Linked DNA regions of Callithrix jacchus. The protein of the gene in region 1 purifies or fractionates together with the protein of each later gene. This does not show direct contact. Links are inferred from orthologs where the notes say so. Each region holds a gene or a part of one and is shown in the gene's direction. Other genes may lie near its edges. The genes, in order: MGRN1 and MC1R.

Evidence for each region.
Region 2: the proteins of MGRN1 (region 1) and MC1R purify together in Homo sapiens (affinity purification with western blotting; 3 studies listed by BioGRID). This does not show direct contact. The link is inferred for Callithrix jacchus from reciprocal best matches to the Homo sapiens genes MGRN1 and MC1R.

What each region holds. Positions count from the first base shown.
Region 1 is NC_133513.1:6,808,811-6,815,511, forward strand, and holds the end of MGRN1 (E3 ubiquitin-protein ligase MGRN1), read left to right. Parts: intron 1-65; coding exon of another isoform or gene 66-106; exon of another isoform or gene 107-110; intron 111-456; exon of another isoform or gene 457-554; intron 555-2,624; coding exon 2,625-2,737; 3' UTR 2,738-4,729; downstream 4,730-6,701. UniProt on the Homo sapiens protein: E3 ubiquitin-protein ligase. Mediates monoubiquitination at multiple sites of TSG101 in the presence of UBE2D1, but not of UBE2G1, nor UBE2H. Plays a role in the regulation of endosome-to-lysosome trafficking.
Region 2 is NC_133521.1:47,549,963-47,557,343, forward strand, and holds the start of MC1R (melanocyte-stimulating hormone receptor), read left to right. Parts: upstream 1-2,390; 5' UTR 2,391-6,022; coding exon 6,023-7,057; 3' UTR 7,058-7,381. UniProt on the Homo sapiens protein: Receptor for MSH (alpha, beta and gamma) and ACTH. The activity of this receptor is mediated by G proteins which activate adenylate cyclase.

The sequences.
Region 1 (6,701 bases):
TGGCGGTGCCAGCTGCTGGGTGCGTGCTAACTGAGCTTCCGTCTGTCTCTCCCCTCTCCGCGCAGCCCTGGGGCCCGACTCCTGCTCTGTTGGTATAGACGAGTAAGCCGGTACGTGACCTTCCAGACGCGCTTCGGGGGCTCTGACGCGCGTCCTTGGAGAGAGGAGCCCTCCCCTGGTCTCTGGTGGGGGTTCCTTCTGGTTTTCGGGTCTTCATCCACATCCATGTCTTCCCAGGGGTCCTGGGTTCTGAATCCAGAGCTCTGGTGGCCGCTGCACCTTTGCCCCAGAAAGTGGCCTCCTGAGGGGTCCTGACTTTTAGAGCCAGAGGTCTCTGCATTTGGACCCGGCGACTGGTCAGGATCTTCTTCCAGCCTTGAGAGGCCCTAGAATAGTCCCAGCCCAGGCAGGGAGACAGACCCAGCCCAGGTGTGCCAGAGCCACTGTCCCCCACAGGAGGCAGGAGCATGGAGGGAACCCCAGGGAGACGCGGGGCGACACTTCGGAGAGGAGAGCCTCAGGCCCAGGCCCAGCCTTGTTCCGGATAGTCCCCTGTGAGTTCCCGTTGGGATGTGCAGCAGGTCACTCCCATTTTCTGGACATGGCTTTAAGTAATAAATCATGGGGAAAAGAATGTGCCCCAGGCTGGGAGAGCCTGGTGATCCCTGTTCCCAAGCTCAGTCCCCGTCTCTTGGAGGGAGTCTCTCCTTAAGGGGTCTTCTGGTGCCCAGGGGAGAGCATCTTGCATCCTGTCCTGAGGGCGTCCACTCACACAGCTGCCTGCTCCCCTGCTCCCCTGCTCCCCTGCTCCCTCCTTCGCTAGTCAGCCTGGCTCCGTGGGCCTGGCAGACAGTCCCTTGTGGGCTGCCTTTCTGCTTTGAGACCACCATTACTGCTAACTCACCTGTCCCTGCCAGTACTGGAACTTTCTGGAACACCAGCACTGAGTGTGATAGGCCCTGTGAGGCTGGCACCCCCATTCCCTCCCAGGAGACCCCCTCATCCCCCCCAAGAGGCACTCTCTACCAGGGTGGCCCAGGCGGATGTTTGACCAAAGCCGCTCTGGCCAGGCACTGGCTCACACCTGTAATCCCAGGTCTTTGGGAGACCAAGGGGTTAGATGACTTGAGCCCAGGATTTCAAAGTAGTGTGGGAAACATAGTGAGACCCCTCTACAAAAGTTTAAAAACTGGCTTGAGCTTGGTGGCTTACACCTGTGGTCCCAGCTCCTAAGAGGGCTGAGGTGGGAGGATTGCCTGAGCTGGGGAGGTCCAGGCCCACTCCAGCCTGAGTCCTTGTCTCAAAAACAGAAAATATACACATGCAAACACACACGTACACACACACACACACACACACACACACACGCACAGGAGAGAGAGAGAGAGGACAGCTCCAGGAGTACCACCAAAAAGTAGGCAGGCAGACTGGGGACCCTCTGCCTTCCCGAAGGGTCTGGGCGCACATGCCGCCTGCAGCTCTGGTCTGCTGAGGGGGCTGCTGGTGTTCTCTGAGGCCGGGGCTCCCACACAGGACCACAGCCATCGTCGGGCAAGGCCCATGTGGCCCGCTGGGAAGTGCCCAGCCGGGGTCCAGGCTCCCAGAGGCCCTTTCCCCTGGGCGGACTTGAGCTGGGCCCAGGAGCTTTGCTTGTTTTGACTGCACTCTGCGTTCTCACGCATCTGTCGTCTTGAGCCCAGTGCGTCCCTCTGTGGACCCCTCTCCTGACCTGTCATACCCCTTGACTGAAACGCCACCTGCACCTTTTAGAGGGCCCCGGCCTGCGTGTCGGGGGATGGTGCCGTTCGAATGTTACGGCTCAGGTCAAGCTTCCAGAGGTGGGGAGCGCAGGTGTGGTCTGGAACAGGCTCACAGCCTCTGAGCTCTGGTATTGCTGCAGGCCGAAGCCCCTGAGGAAGATAGCCATCCTTCACCTGAGAGCGGGGCCGGGCCCTGTCTGCTGGGAGCCATGGGTCAGGGCTGGTGGCTGGATGTTGGGCAGCCCTGAGGCCGTGCTGGCCCCGTCCCAGGCTCAGCACCAGCACTGTTACCCAAGCCCCGGGGAAGCCAGACCCATCTGGGGACAGCACCTGGCAGCGGTGTAGAAGCCATAGTCCAAGCGTCGGGGCTCTGTGGGAGGCTCCTCTCTGCCTCACAGAAGCCACCATGGGGCCACTCTGAGCTTGGGATCGTTCTCGCTCGGGGCTGCTCCCTGCCCCTCCACCCCAGGGTGACTGAGTTCTAGCCTAACCTAGCCATAAGGACCTTAGCAGGACAGTGGGTGGTCACATCCCAGGAAACTGGGACCAGGGGGAGGGCAGGAGACCCAGAGGACAGAAGCCACAGCGCCACGTCGTGTTCTGACTCGGGGCTGCAGCTCTGCTGCCAGTGTCTGGGGGTGCAGGGTGATGTGCCCGGTGTCCTGGGATGAGGGGTGATCTGCCTGAGAGGGACACACCGTGCTTGGCAGGGCTGGAGAGGCCCCATCTGTTCTGGCCACAGACAGGTGGCGGGAGTGGGGGTGCGGGGTGGCCCACCCCTGTGTGGCTCCAGGTTGGTAGGAGTGGGTGGCACCAAGCAGCTGAGTGTGACCCACCTCCCTCCCCCTCTGCTCCTGCCTGCAGGATGGCCCACCTCCATGGAAATGGCCCACAGCCTTGGCACCACCAGCCCCACCTGGCCTCCTCTTGGTGGCCCCAGCCCTGATCCCAGCACCGCCGAGCTGACCTCACTCTGAGAGCCTGGCCAAGCTGGCAGCATGGAGCCCTCAGCTCCCTAGACTTTGCCAAGGGGCTGCCCCAGACCCCGGTGTGACTCGGCCTCTCCTGTCTGCATGCCCCCTGTGGCCACCAGGCTCCAAGGGGCTGTGGTGACCCCTGATGAAAGAGCACAGTGGACTGTCCCCCAAGTCCCCCTTTTCTATGGTTGATATATTTGTAACTGGTACAAGATGAAGGACAGCAGCTTTCCATCCCAAGTTCAGCGCCTGGGTTCCCCAGGGTCTGGTGGGCCGAGCATCTGGGGCTGGGGCTGCCCACATGTGGCTTTTGCTGGCTGCACCGGGTCCCTCAGCAGTGCAGTTGCTGCCCAGAGAACTCAGCAGACCTGCACAAGAGAATTTATTGGTGGGTGAAGCACTATCTTCACAGATGTTCGGGGGCAGTGGGGGCTCGAGGCACGGTCAGTGAAGGAAACGGTGCCTGTCCGCCCAGCCCACCGGTGTTACCACGGCAGCCTGGCTGTTGCTGCCTTCTGTCCTCTGCCGTGTTTGTGCAGCCTCCATGCCCTCCCTGGTGTGTCTCTGCTGGCGCCTTCAGTGCTCAGAGCTTTGGGGTGCACTGCTGTCGCTCTGGGCAGCTGAAGCATCTCAGCCTAGCACTGGACCTGACTGAGGGGCCAAGGCACAGCCGCTTCCAGCAGCCATCATCCAGCAGCCTTGTTACCAAGCCCTGCACCTTCTCACCGTGCTGGCTTTGGTGACCTCACCAGGCCCCTCCAGTTGCAGGGCCATCCGTTCAGCAGGGCCCTGTCAAGAAGGACCATTCCCTTTTGTCATTGGAATGTCCCCTGCGGTTCTCTTTTTTTTGAGATGGAGTTTCACTCTTGTTGCCCAGGCTGGAGTACAGTGGCATGGTTTCGCTCACTGTAACCTCCACCTCCCAGGTTCAAGTGGTTGTCCTGCCTCAGCCTCCCGAGTAGCTGGGATTATAGGTGCATGCCACCAACCCTGGCTAATTTTTTTGTATTTTTAGTAGAGACAGGGTTTCACCATGTCGGTCTGGCTGGTCCCGAACTCCTGACCTCAGGTGATCCACCCACCTCGCAAAGTGCTGGGATTACAGGCATGATCCGCTGCGCCCGGCCCCCTTGTGGTTCTCTTTGATTTGATGTGTCAGGCTCCCTCGGTGAGACCCACCCGGGGAGGAGGGAGCCAGCAGCCCACCTGGTAAGTGAGGTCACAGCCTGGAGGCTTGGCCTCTGGGCGACGTTGTCCTGTTTTTATTAAGGTAAACATCCTGGGCAGCAGACAGGTGAAGGGGGTATCTGGCCTTGGTGACCCAGGACTTGAGCCACCCCAGCAGGGCCCTGGGCCGGGAAGGTATGTGTGGGTCTTCTGGCCCGGGGGCGGGGAGGTTGCCCTGCAGCTGGGCTTGGGGATCAGATGGCTGTGGGGCAGCTCACAGCCCTCCCTGAGGTTCAGGGTGGCCTTGAGTACAAGCTCTGCTTCCTGGGCGCTCAGGGGGGACCCAGCAGTGGTCCCTGCACCCAGCTCCCTGCACACCCAGGCCAGTCCCCTCCTGCCCTTGTGCACATGCTCTCACATTCACACACATGCTTATGCACAGTCACTTGCACATGCTCATACACACATGCTCCCACGTTCACGCACACATGCTCAGGCATATTTGCACACACTCATACGCATACACACATGCTCCCACACACGTGCACGCATACACATACCCATACGCATATGCTCCCACGTGTGTGTGCACTTGGCCCAGGCATCTCCCCAACGCACCTCCCCCCACACACCTCCCCCCAACCCCACCTCTCCTCCCGCTCTGCCAAGGCCCCAGCCTGTGGCCGTCGGTCCTGGTGCCAGGGCTCTCCGTGAAGTTCAGGCTGCAGAATGGCCCGCTGGGACTCCTATGTGCTGCCATTTGATGTGCTCAGATGGGCCCATTTGTTTTTACTGTATATTTATAGTAATAAAATCACGCAGCAATATACTGTCTGTTCCTTCCTCTGGGCACAGCCCTCAGGACAGTGGCTGTTTCCTGACCCGGAGTTGGGCCACTGGGTGGTTGGGTTGGCTCCAACAGCCTGGCAGCTCCATGGCCTCTGCCCGGCTTCCCTCCGGTGTCAGGGCAGTGAGCACGGTGAGGGTTAATGAGAACGCTGGCTCCCAGCCAGCCCTGTTGGAGGGAAGCCACACCCTCGATCGGGCTGTCCCCTGAACAGGTGGTGCGGTAGCCCCCGGGCCTGCAGGTGTGAGAGTTGTTGCTCCTGTTCCCAAGTCTAGCCCCGGTGGTCTCAGGGCTTTTGCTGAGCACCTGGTGTGTTCCAGTGGCAGCAGAACAGCTGAGGCGCGGACCCCAGGCGCCTGCATTCCAGGCAGTGAGACGCCCGGCTGCTAATCAGAATCTTGCCAGGTTTGGATGCTATAGGAAGAAGGGGTGGTGGTGAGATGAAACCTTAAAAGGGACTCATTGAACTGGGCGGCAGGGAGAGCCTGAGACTTCCAACAGCCCTTAAGGCTGAGGAGGAGCTGGCCTTGGAGTGCTCCAGGTGGCAGTAGTGAGGCTGGTGTGTCCCCTGGGGACAGAGCCCCTGGTTGGAGTGAAGGGTTCTGGATAGCTACTGAAGAGCTTGTAGAGGCTACTGGAGTGTTTTTATTAGGGGGAGTCAGATTTGTTTTGTTTTGTTTTTTTGAGGTGGAATCTTGCTCTGTCACCCAGGCTGGAGTGCAGTGGTGCAATCTCGGCTCAGTGCAGTCTCTGCCTAAGGGGGAGTCAGTTTTAAGAACAGGTTTTCAAGCAGAGGGGCAGTGCCAGTGCCCTACAGCTGGCCTGTGGAGCCCGGACGGCCGGAGCAGGTCTGGCCGCCCAGGGTTGTGGGCTCGAGGGCTAGAGCCCAACCCCAGGCCTCTGCCCAGCCCCTGCTCCCCTGCCCAGGGAGTGGCCAGTGCACCAGGGCAGCTACCACTCGGCCCCAGCTCCTTTGCACACAGGTCAAGTTGCCACCATGCCCCTCGACTGAAGACCCTGAGGGTGGAGGGGTTGCCCATGTTTTGGCCCATCAGTCCCCCAAGAAGGCTGCCACCCATGGGCCCTGCAGCTGCTCTGACAGGCCTGGGTCTGGCTCCATCCCATTGTGGGTAGAGTGTCAGACGGGTGCTTGCACGGGCTAGATTGGCTCCCCCTCTGTACCTCCCAACAGACCTAGCACTTTAATTGGTGTCTGGTGTCAGGGAGGGACTGGAGCAATGGGAGCCTCCTCTCCAGTGCCCATGCATCTCAAGGACCCTGGGTTCTGGGTCTCTGGCTGGGCTTGGCCGTCTAGGGGTCAGGCCCTCTTTGGGTGGGAGGACCCTTCCCTTCGCTGCCCTCTCGCCTTCTAACATGGTCGCTTACCCTGGGGTCGGGGCTTCTGCTGGCTGCAGCTGACCCGTGTGACCACCTTCACTGGTGGCCACAGCAAGAGAGAGAGGTGTCTTCTCTAGGTTCTTCACATCTGACGCCACCATGGACCAAACAGGTGAGTTTCCAGTGCTCACCCTCTGTCCACCTCCCTCCTGTCTGGCTCCACTCAAGGCAGCTTTCTCTGTGCCTGCGAGCTTGGCCTCACTGCACAGCTCTCCCAGGGCTGTGCTCAGCAAATCCATTTCCCTGGTTGGGAGGAGTGGGCCCTGCTGCTGGTGAGGTGAGCCTCGCCATCGTGGAGTTCGGGGGACCTCACTCTCCCTTGGCTGTTTGTTTCTGAGCCCCAGAGACTGCTCCAGTACAGATACAGGGTAAGTACCTCAGGCCTTTGTGGAATTGGGGTGGACTCCTGCCTCTGTCACCAACTGCTGGGTGCAGTTAGACAAGTTCTGTCCCTCTCTGAGCCCCAAGTTCCTCATCGTAAATTGGGGAAACCCCTCTTCCCTCCCCCCTCCAGCACACAGTACCTGGCACAGGGTGCCCGGCTTGGAGGAT
Region 2 (7,381 bases), on another chromosome or scaffold:
TTCAAGCAATTCTGCCTCTGCCTCTGCCTCCCAAGTAGCTGGGACTACAGGCGCATGCCACGACACTCACCATGCCCAGCTAAGTTTTGTATTTCGGTATTTTTTCTTTTTGGGACAGAGTCTCACTCTGTCACCCAGGCTAGAGTGCAGTGGCGCAATCTCAGCTCACTGCAACCTCCGCCTCCTGGGTTCAGGTGATTCTCGTGCCTCAGCCTCCTGAGTAGCTGGGATTGCAGATGTCTGCCACCACACCTGGCTAATTTTTGTATTTTATTAGAGATAGGGTTTCACCATATTGGCCAGGCTAATCTCGAACTCCTGAACTCAGGTGATCCACCGACCTCAGCCTCCCAAAGTGCTGGGATTACATGCATGAGACACCGTGCCTGGCCCAAGTTTTGTATTTAGTAGAGATGGGGTTTCACCTTCTTGGCCAGGATGGTCTCAATCTCTTGACCTGGGGATCCACCTGCCTCAGCCTCCCAAATTGCTGGGATTACACGTGTGAGCAACCGTGCCTGGCCAAAATAATTTTATTAGAAAACTTAAGGGCAGTGCCTGGAATTGAAGGAGAAGCCCCAGGAGCATGTTTTGGAAAGAGAGGTTCATGGGCAGCTCTGAAGGGTGGTGTGGCAAAGATCAGGAGACATTCGGTCTGGGGGTGAATGGGCCACTCTGACCGAGCCCCCAGCCTGGAGAGGGGCATAGCTGGAGCAGGTCTGGGCACACTTGAGCGGTGGTGTCCAGAACCTGTACATCCCGCAGTGTTGCAGCTGCAGGAGGACAGAGGGTGCAGCCAGGCGAAATCAGAAGCCGGCATGGTTCTGGAAGGACTGAGAACATGAAGTGTCATGGCTGCACCAGGGTTTCTGTCCCCTGCACCCCACAGCACCCTGATCTTTCACCCTCAGGAGACAGCAAGCACAAGGGGCTGGGAGGAGGGCAGCCAGTGAGGCAGGAGACATGTTCTGGCCCCAGCTGGGTCCTGGTCCATGGACCCACCTCCCAGAAAGCCCCATCACTGTATCATCGTCTATCAAGGGCCCACTGAGGTCTGTGAGCACATCTTTTTCCTGGTGTCGCCTGACTGCTCAGTATTTCCCAGCTGGGAGCCTAGGGTGCAGGACCCTCCCCGGGACAGTGAGGGCCCCCTGTCTGTGATAAGAGGCGGCCTGAGGGGTGAGCCCTGTGTGCCCGTCTCAGATGCGGGCCTGAGGGTGCAGCCCTCGAGCTGGGCTGGCCATTTGGAGGGGTGCACCGGGGTGCCAGCTGTGACATCCTGAGCCTGCTGCGCTCCTCTCCCCAGATGCTGCAGCAAGAGATGGTGCAGCAGCCTCCTTCCTCTCTGCAGCAAGGGAATGATGTCTGTGGTCAGCGGGAGGCTCTGGGGAGCACAGGCTGGTGCAGAGCGGGGGCCCTCCCGGCATCTCACCCACCCTTTTTTCCATGCCAGCATAACTGGCTTTTTTGGGGATCTGCACTCAGCTCCAGGGAAGGTGGCCGGGATCATCCCAGTCTGCCTTGGTTCCCTGCCCTCCACAGCCAGGTGCCTGTGATGAGCTTCAGCCACTGAGATGGGGGGACTGCTAGAGTCTTCAGGGGCTTGTTCTCTGAAAGTGACAGGCAAGCAAGGAGAGCTGGGTTCCTGCCTCTTCCTTCCAGATGCCTTGAGTCCACCCACATGGGGATGTGGTGTTTGGAGCTCCAGCAGCCGTCCTGTGCTTGGGAGTCAAAGAAGAGCCGGTGTTCCAGGGACAGTGAGTGCAGCAGAGGTTGAGCCCAGACCTGCTGTCCTGAGAGGTGGCTGGGTCACTGACGCCTTGGCACTGCTGCTGGGGTTATGTCGTGAGCTGCCGCTGAGCCTGTTCCTAATGACCGTGAGACCCGAAGACTACTCTCAAGGCTTGGCCTCTGCCATGCTTGTGGGGGATCGTGGATCCTGCTTCCTCCCTGGCCCTGCTGAGCCCAGTGAGAGCCTGAGGCACATGTGGCTTCCCCAGCTGGGCCCTTTTCCACTGAGCCAGTCCCCCGCCCCAGAGTCTTCAACGCAGGCACCTCCCACCCTCCCACCCCCCACCCCCGGTTCAAAGGAAACTGATGGCCCCTGAGCCAAGGGCTGAGGCGGGCTGTGGGCCTGGCTGTCCTTGGGAGCTGTACTGGAGCCCACCATGTTGGGACCCAGAGGCAGACTCACGGTGGCCCAAGAGCTCGGGACTGTTGGTCCAGTGGTGACCCCCACCTCCCTGTGGGTGGCTGCAGCTGGACAGGCACCCTGGGCTACAGAGCTGGGTTCCCTGCAGCCCTTGGGCGCACACTGCATGCATGCATACGTGTGTGCATATTCATGTGTGCACACGCGTATGTGTGTGGGTGTTGCAGACCTTGGGTGCCAGACACGGAACAAACCCAGGAAGGCATCTGTCTTCATTGTCCTCATGGGACCCCAGTCCAGAAACGTCCTTGTGGGAAGTGCTCCATGGGACCATGCCTCTGCCCGTGGGAAGGCACCGTCCACCACGACCCTGGTGAGCAGGCACGCCGGCCCCATGTGTCTTCCTGCCGCTCCACACGCAACATCTCCAGGGGCACTAGGAGATCCAAACAGATAGGATTAGCTGTAGAAGTATCTGATTCCATCTAATCACAGATGGTCCTGAGGCTAATTTATCTCCCCCATGACCATAACGAATCAGAATGTTGATTTTTTCCAGCTCATCTGTACCTCATCTCCTTCCCACAGTGCCCCGACAGGCACATCCAATGAGAACCACAGTGGGAGTCCTGTGGCAGGGTCATCCACTTCTGATGCCCTCCAGCTGTGTCCTGGCAGGAAACGGGCTGCCTGATTCTCATGCCCTTTGAAGTCCCAGGCTGGGTGGCTGGGGTGGAGGCTGGGGTTAACCACCATCTATTTCAAAGGCCTCATTATGGAGATGCGAATGTGAACATCCCTGAAATGTGAGGATGCAGTGGGCTGGGATAGGGCTGCTCACCGGCTCATGGCCACAGGGGAGCGGGGTTTGGGTCTGTGAAGTGTATGGATGTCCAGGGACTCCTATGCAGGGACATGGCCCCTCATGCCAGGGGGCCGTCTGCCTTCCCCAGCCAGGCTCAGCCTCCTCCTCACATCTGGAACCCTTCTCTCCCCTGTGCTCAGCTGGAAGCACAGCATGAGGCAGCAAAGGCCATGGGAGGCAAAAGGCTGGACTGAGGTGAGGCTGTGTGGGTGTGGCCAGACTGCAGGTCTGTGGAGGTGTGAGCAGGGCACGCTGTCCAAATGAGCTGTGTGTGCTGCCAGACCCAGGTCTGCCAGTCTGAAGATGGTTTGACCAAGTGTCCCAAAGCAGAAGCCCTGCCCATGTCCTTCCTGCATGCCATCCAGCAGGTGCACGCACCTGTGTCCATCAGGTGATATAGCAAACTGCCAGCAGCACTGTAATTGACAGAGTCTGAGGCCACCCCAATGTTCACACAATGGACACCACGGTCTGAGGCAGAGGATTGCAGCCACCAGCATGGGCAAATCTTAGCCGGAGAGAGCCAGCCGGGTGGGAACGTGGTGTCTGTGTCTGGTGCTGCTTATGTACCTGGTTCAGGTGGGGCATCCCTCTGCCTGCGTGTTCGTCATTGGTGCACGTTTATGTGTGTTGTACTCAATTAAAACATTTTAGGCCCAGTGCGGTGGCTCACGCTGTAATCCCAGCACTTTGGGAGGCCGTGGTGGGTGGATCAGGAGATGAAGACCATCCTGGCCAACATGGTGAAACCCCGTCTCTACTAAAAATTAGCTGGGCATGGCGGTGTGCGCCTGTAGTCCCAGCTACTTGGGAGGCTTAGTCAGAAGAATTGCTTGAACTGGGAGGTGGAATCTGCAGTGAGCAAAGATCGTGCAACTGCACTGCAGCCTGGGTGACAGAGAAAAACTCCATCTCAAAAAAAAAAAAATTAAAAGCAGGCCAGGCATGGTGGCTCACACCTGTAATCTCAACACTTTGGGTGTCCGAGGCAGGCGGATCACCTGAGATTAGGAGTTCAAGACCAGCCTGACCAACGGCAAAACCCCATCTTTACTAGAAACACAAAAATTAACCAGGGGTGGTTGTGGGCACCTGCGGCCAGACTGCTACTTGGGAGACTGAGGCAGGAAAATCACTTGAACCCGGGAGGTGGAGGTAGCAGTGAGCAGAGATCAGGTCCCTGCACTCCAGCCTCAGTGGCAGAATGAAACTGGGTCTCAAAAAAATAAATTTTAAAGCAAAAATATTTATAAATTGCAAAATTCAAAATGTAACAAATATATATACTGCATCAGTAAATATTATAGTAATGTGCTCACACATGGAGGTGGCTTGTGAGTGATGTGGGCATTCCACAGTCAGAGACTGGCAGGCTGGCCAGTGACAGAGAGCATGGATCCTAACTCAGATGTCGCAGGTGCAAACATTGAAACCCTGATGCGGTGCCTGTCCCGTTGCCTCCTTTTCTGCATCTGTAAATGGGATGAGTAATTTGGTCCCCCCTTCTGCTTCCACCTTCATAAGGAGGTTTTTCGTCAACACAGACACGGTGTTAGCAAGGAAGTGCTAGGAGCGCCCTGGAGTGAACGCAGAAAGATGCCCGAACTGGGCATGGCGGCCCCTCCCGACCGTCCCTGCTGGGCCTGGGGGCCACACCCAACTGCTGTGAACGGATGGCAGAGCACCACGTGCGGCCACTGGCTGGAGGCGAGAGGTCTGCCTTTGATGTGGCTCCTGGTGCTGGGCCTGTGGTGCCTCCACAGCGGAAATAGGGGCACTGCTGGGGGAGGGCAGGAGCAGTGTCCCAGGTGCCCCAATGAGGATGAACCATGAGATGACTGAAGGGTCCGGAAGGCCTCACCAGGGTGCCCCCAGCCAGTCTGCTGGTCCGAGACCAGAAGGCGACACCCCCAGCCCCAGGGCTGCCATCAAGGGGGCTGCTAGTCTGGCTAGGCGAGGCTGGGCCCTTAGGGGCAGGGGCCAGAGCGGCCTCAGGCTCTTTGTGATACCTAGAAGCATCACCCCCTTCAGGGACCTCTGGCATTGGGCCCTTTCACCCTCTGCCCTGCCTGGAAGCCCCTCACACCCTGGTGATGTGTGTCTCCACCAGGGTCCATTCAGTTTCCAGAACTTTAATTACTGGGAAGTTCTCCCTGGTACAGCCCCCAAATCTGCCATGAACACTGACAGCTGAGTTGCTGCTCCATGCATGCTTCAGCTGAGAGCAGAGGAGGCCCCTGTCCTCACTGAGCTGCTGACATAAGGAGCGGGGGTTAGGGGCTGGGGCTGCTGTCCATGGCCAGTGACTATCTGAGGCGGAGGAGCCTCTGGAGGGGGCAGGGCCCGGGGAAACCCTGGACTCCTGGAGGGGTGGCCAGGCGGGGGCCCTGGTGACCTGGACAGATGGTGGTGTTTTTTAATGGGAAGGGGATGGGCTCTGTGTGGGACTCCCTGGGCGCTGTGTGCCGCCTGATGGCAGGCCAGGCGGGGGTGGGCACTCACTCATCCCAGGCACACGCCCATCATGTGGCCGCCCTCATGGGAGGGGCTCTGAGGATGACTTTAAAAATGCAGAGAAAGGCTCCATTCTTCCCAGGACTGCAGTCCAACCCTGGCCCAGGGAAGCAGGAGGCAGGCAGAGGTCTCAGAGGCCAGGAGGGGCCAGAGGTGTGGAAATGTCCTGGGAACCTGAGCAGCCTCCAGGGAAGAGGCAAGGAGGGAGCTGAGGACCAGGTTTGTTCAAATTGGTTGTGAGATGCCCTGAGGTCAGAGGGTTCATGCTAGGAAGTGTCTGGACTGGCTGGGCCATGCCCAAGCTGGCCGGTCCAGGAAGGAGAGGGTGAGTGTGAGGGCAGAACTGGGGTGTGCCCGGATGGAATGAGGCAGGCATGGGGGACACCCAGGGCACCCCAGCAGCACCATGAGCTAAGCAGGACACCTGCAGGGGGAGAACTGTGGGGACCTGGGAGCCTCCAGCGACCCCTTCCTGCTTCCTGGACGGGACTATGCCTATGCAGGGAGCTCAGAGGAAACTCCTGGGGTCCCTCAACTCCACCCCCACAGCCACCTCCAACCCGGGGCTGGCTGCTAACCACACAGGAGCTCCATGCCTGGAGGTGTCCATCCCCGACGGGCTCTTCCTCAGCCTGGGGCTGGTGAGCTTGGTGGAGAATGTGCTGGTGGTGGCTGCCATCGCCAAGAACCGCAACCTGCACTCGTCCATGTACTACTTCATCTGCTGCCTGGCCCTGTCGGACCTGCTGGTGAGCGGCAGCAACATGCTGGAGACGGCCATCATCCTCCTGCTGGAGGCCGGCACGCTGGCGACCCGGGCCTCAGTGGTGCAGCAGCTGCACAACACCATCGACGTGCTTACCTGCAGCTCCATGCTGTGCAGCCTCTGCTTCCTGGGCGCCATCGCCGTGGACCGCTACATCTCCATCTTCTACGCGCTGCGCTACCACAGCATCATGACACTGCCGCGGGCGCAGAGAGCCATCGCGGCCATCTGGGTGGCCAGTGTCCTCTCCAGCACACTGTTCATCACCTACTACGACCACGCGGCCGTCCTGCTGTGCCTCGTGGTCTTCTTCCTGGCCATGCTGGTGCTCATGGCCGTGCTGTACGTCCACATGCTGGCCCGGGCCTGCCAGCACGCCCAGGGCATCATCCGGCTCCACAACAGACAGCTGCCAGCCCACAAGGGCTTTGGCCTCAGAGGTGCTGCCACCCTCACCATCCTGCTGGGCATCTTCTTCCTCTGCTGGGGCCCCTTCTTCCTGCATCTCACACTGGTCGTCTTCTGCCCCCAGCACCTGACCTGCAACTGTATCTTCAAGAACTTCAAGGTCTTTCTCACCCTCATCATCTGCAACACCATCATCGACCCCCTCATCTACGCTTTCCGCAGCCAGGAGCTCCGAAGGACGCTCAAGGAGGTGCTGCTGTGCTCCTCGTGGCCGGGGTGCTGGGCAGAGGGAGGTGGTGATAGTGTGTGGCCTGGCTCCTGTGTGACCCTGCGTGGTCCCTTACCTCCCTAGTCCCCATTTGTCAGAGGATGGACTAAATGATCGCCCAAAGTGTTGAAGCGCAGACCCTTCTGGGACCAGGGAGAGGAGTCCATGCGAAACTCCAGGCAGGACTCCTCACCAGCAGTCATGGGGAATGGAGGAGACCATGGGAAGTTGTCAGGCTCCGGGCTCCTGAAGAGACATTCTCTACCCACTCCTGGGGCACTCCACCTGCTCTGATGACTGGGCAGCACCCATCCCACCCCATCTTTGCTGCCAACTCTCAGGACCTGTGCCCTCCTCAGCTGGGATGTGAAGTCTCTGGGTGGAAATGTGTGTCAAGAGCTTCTGAGA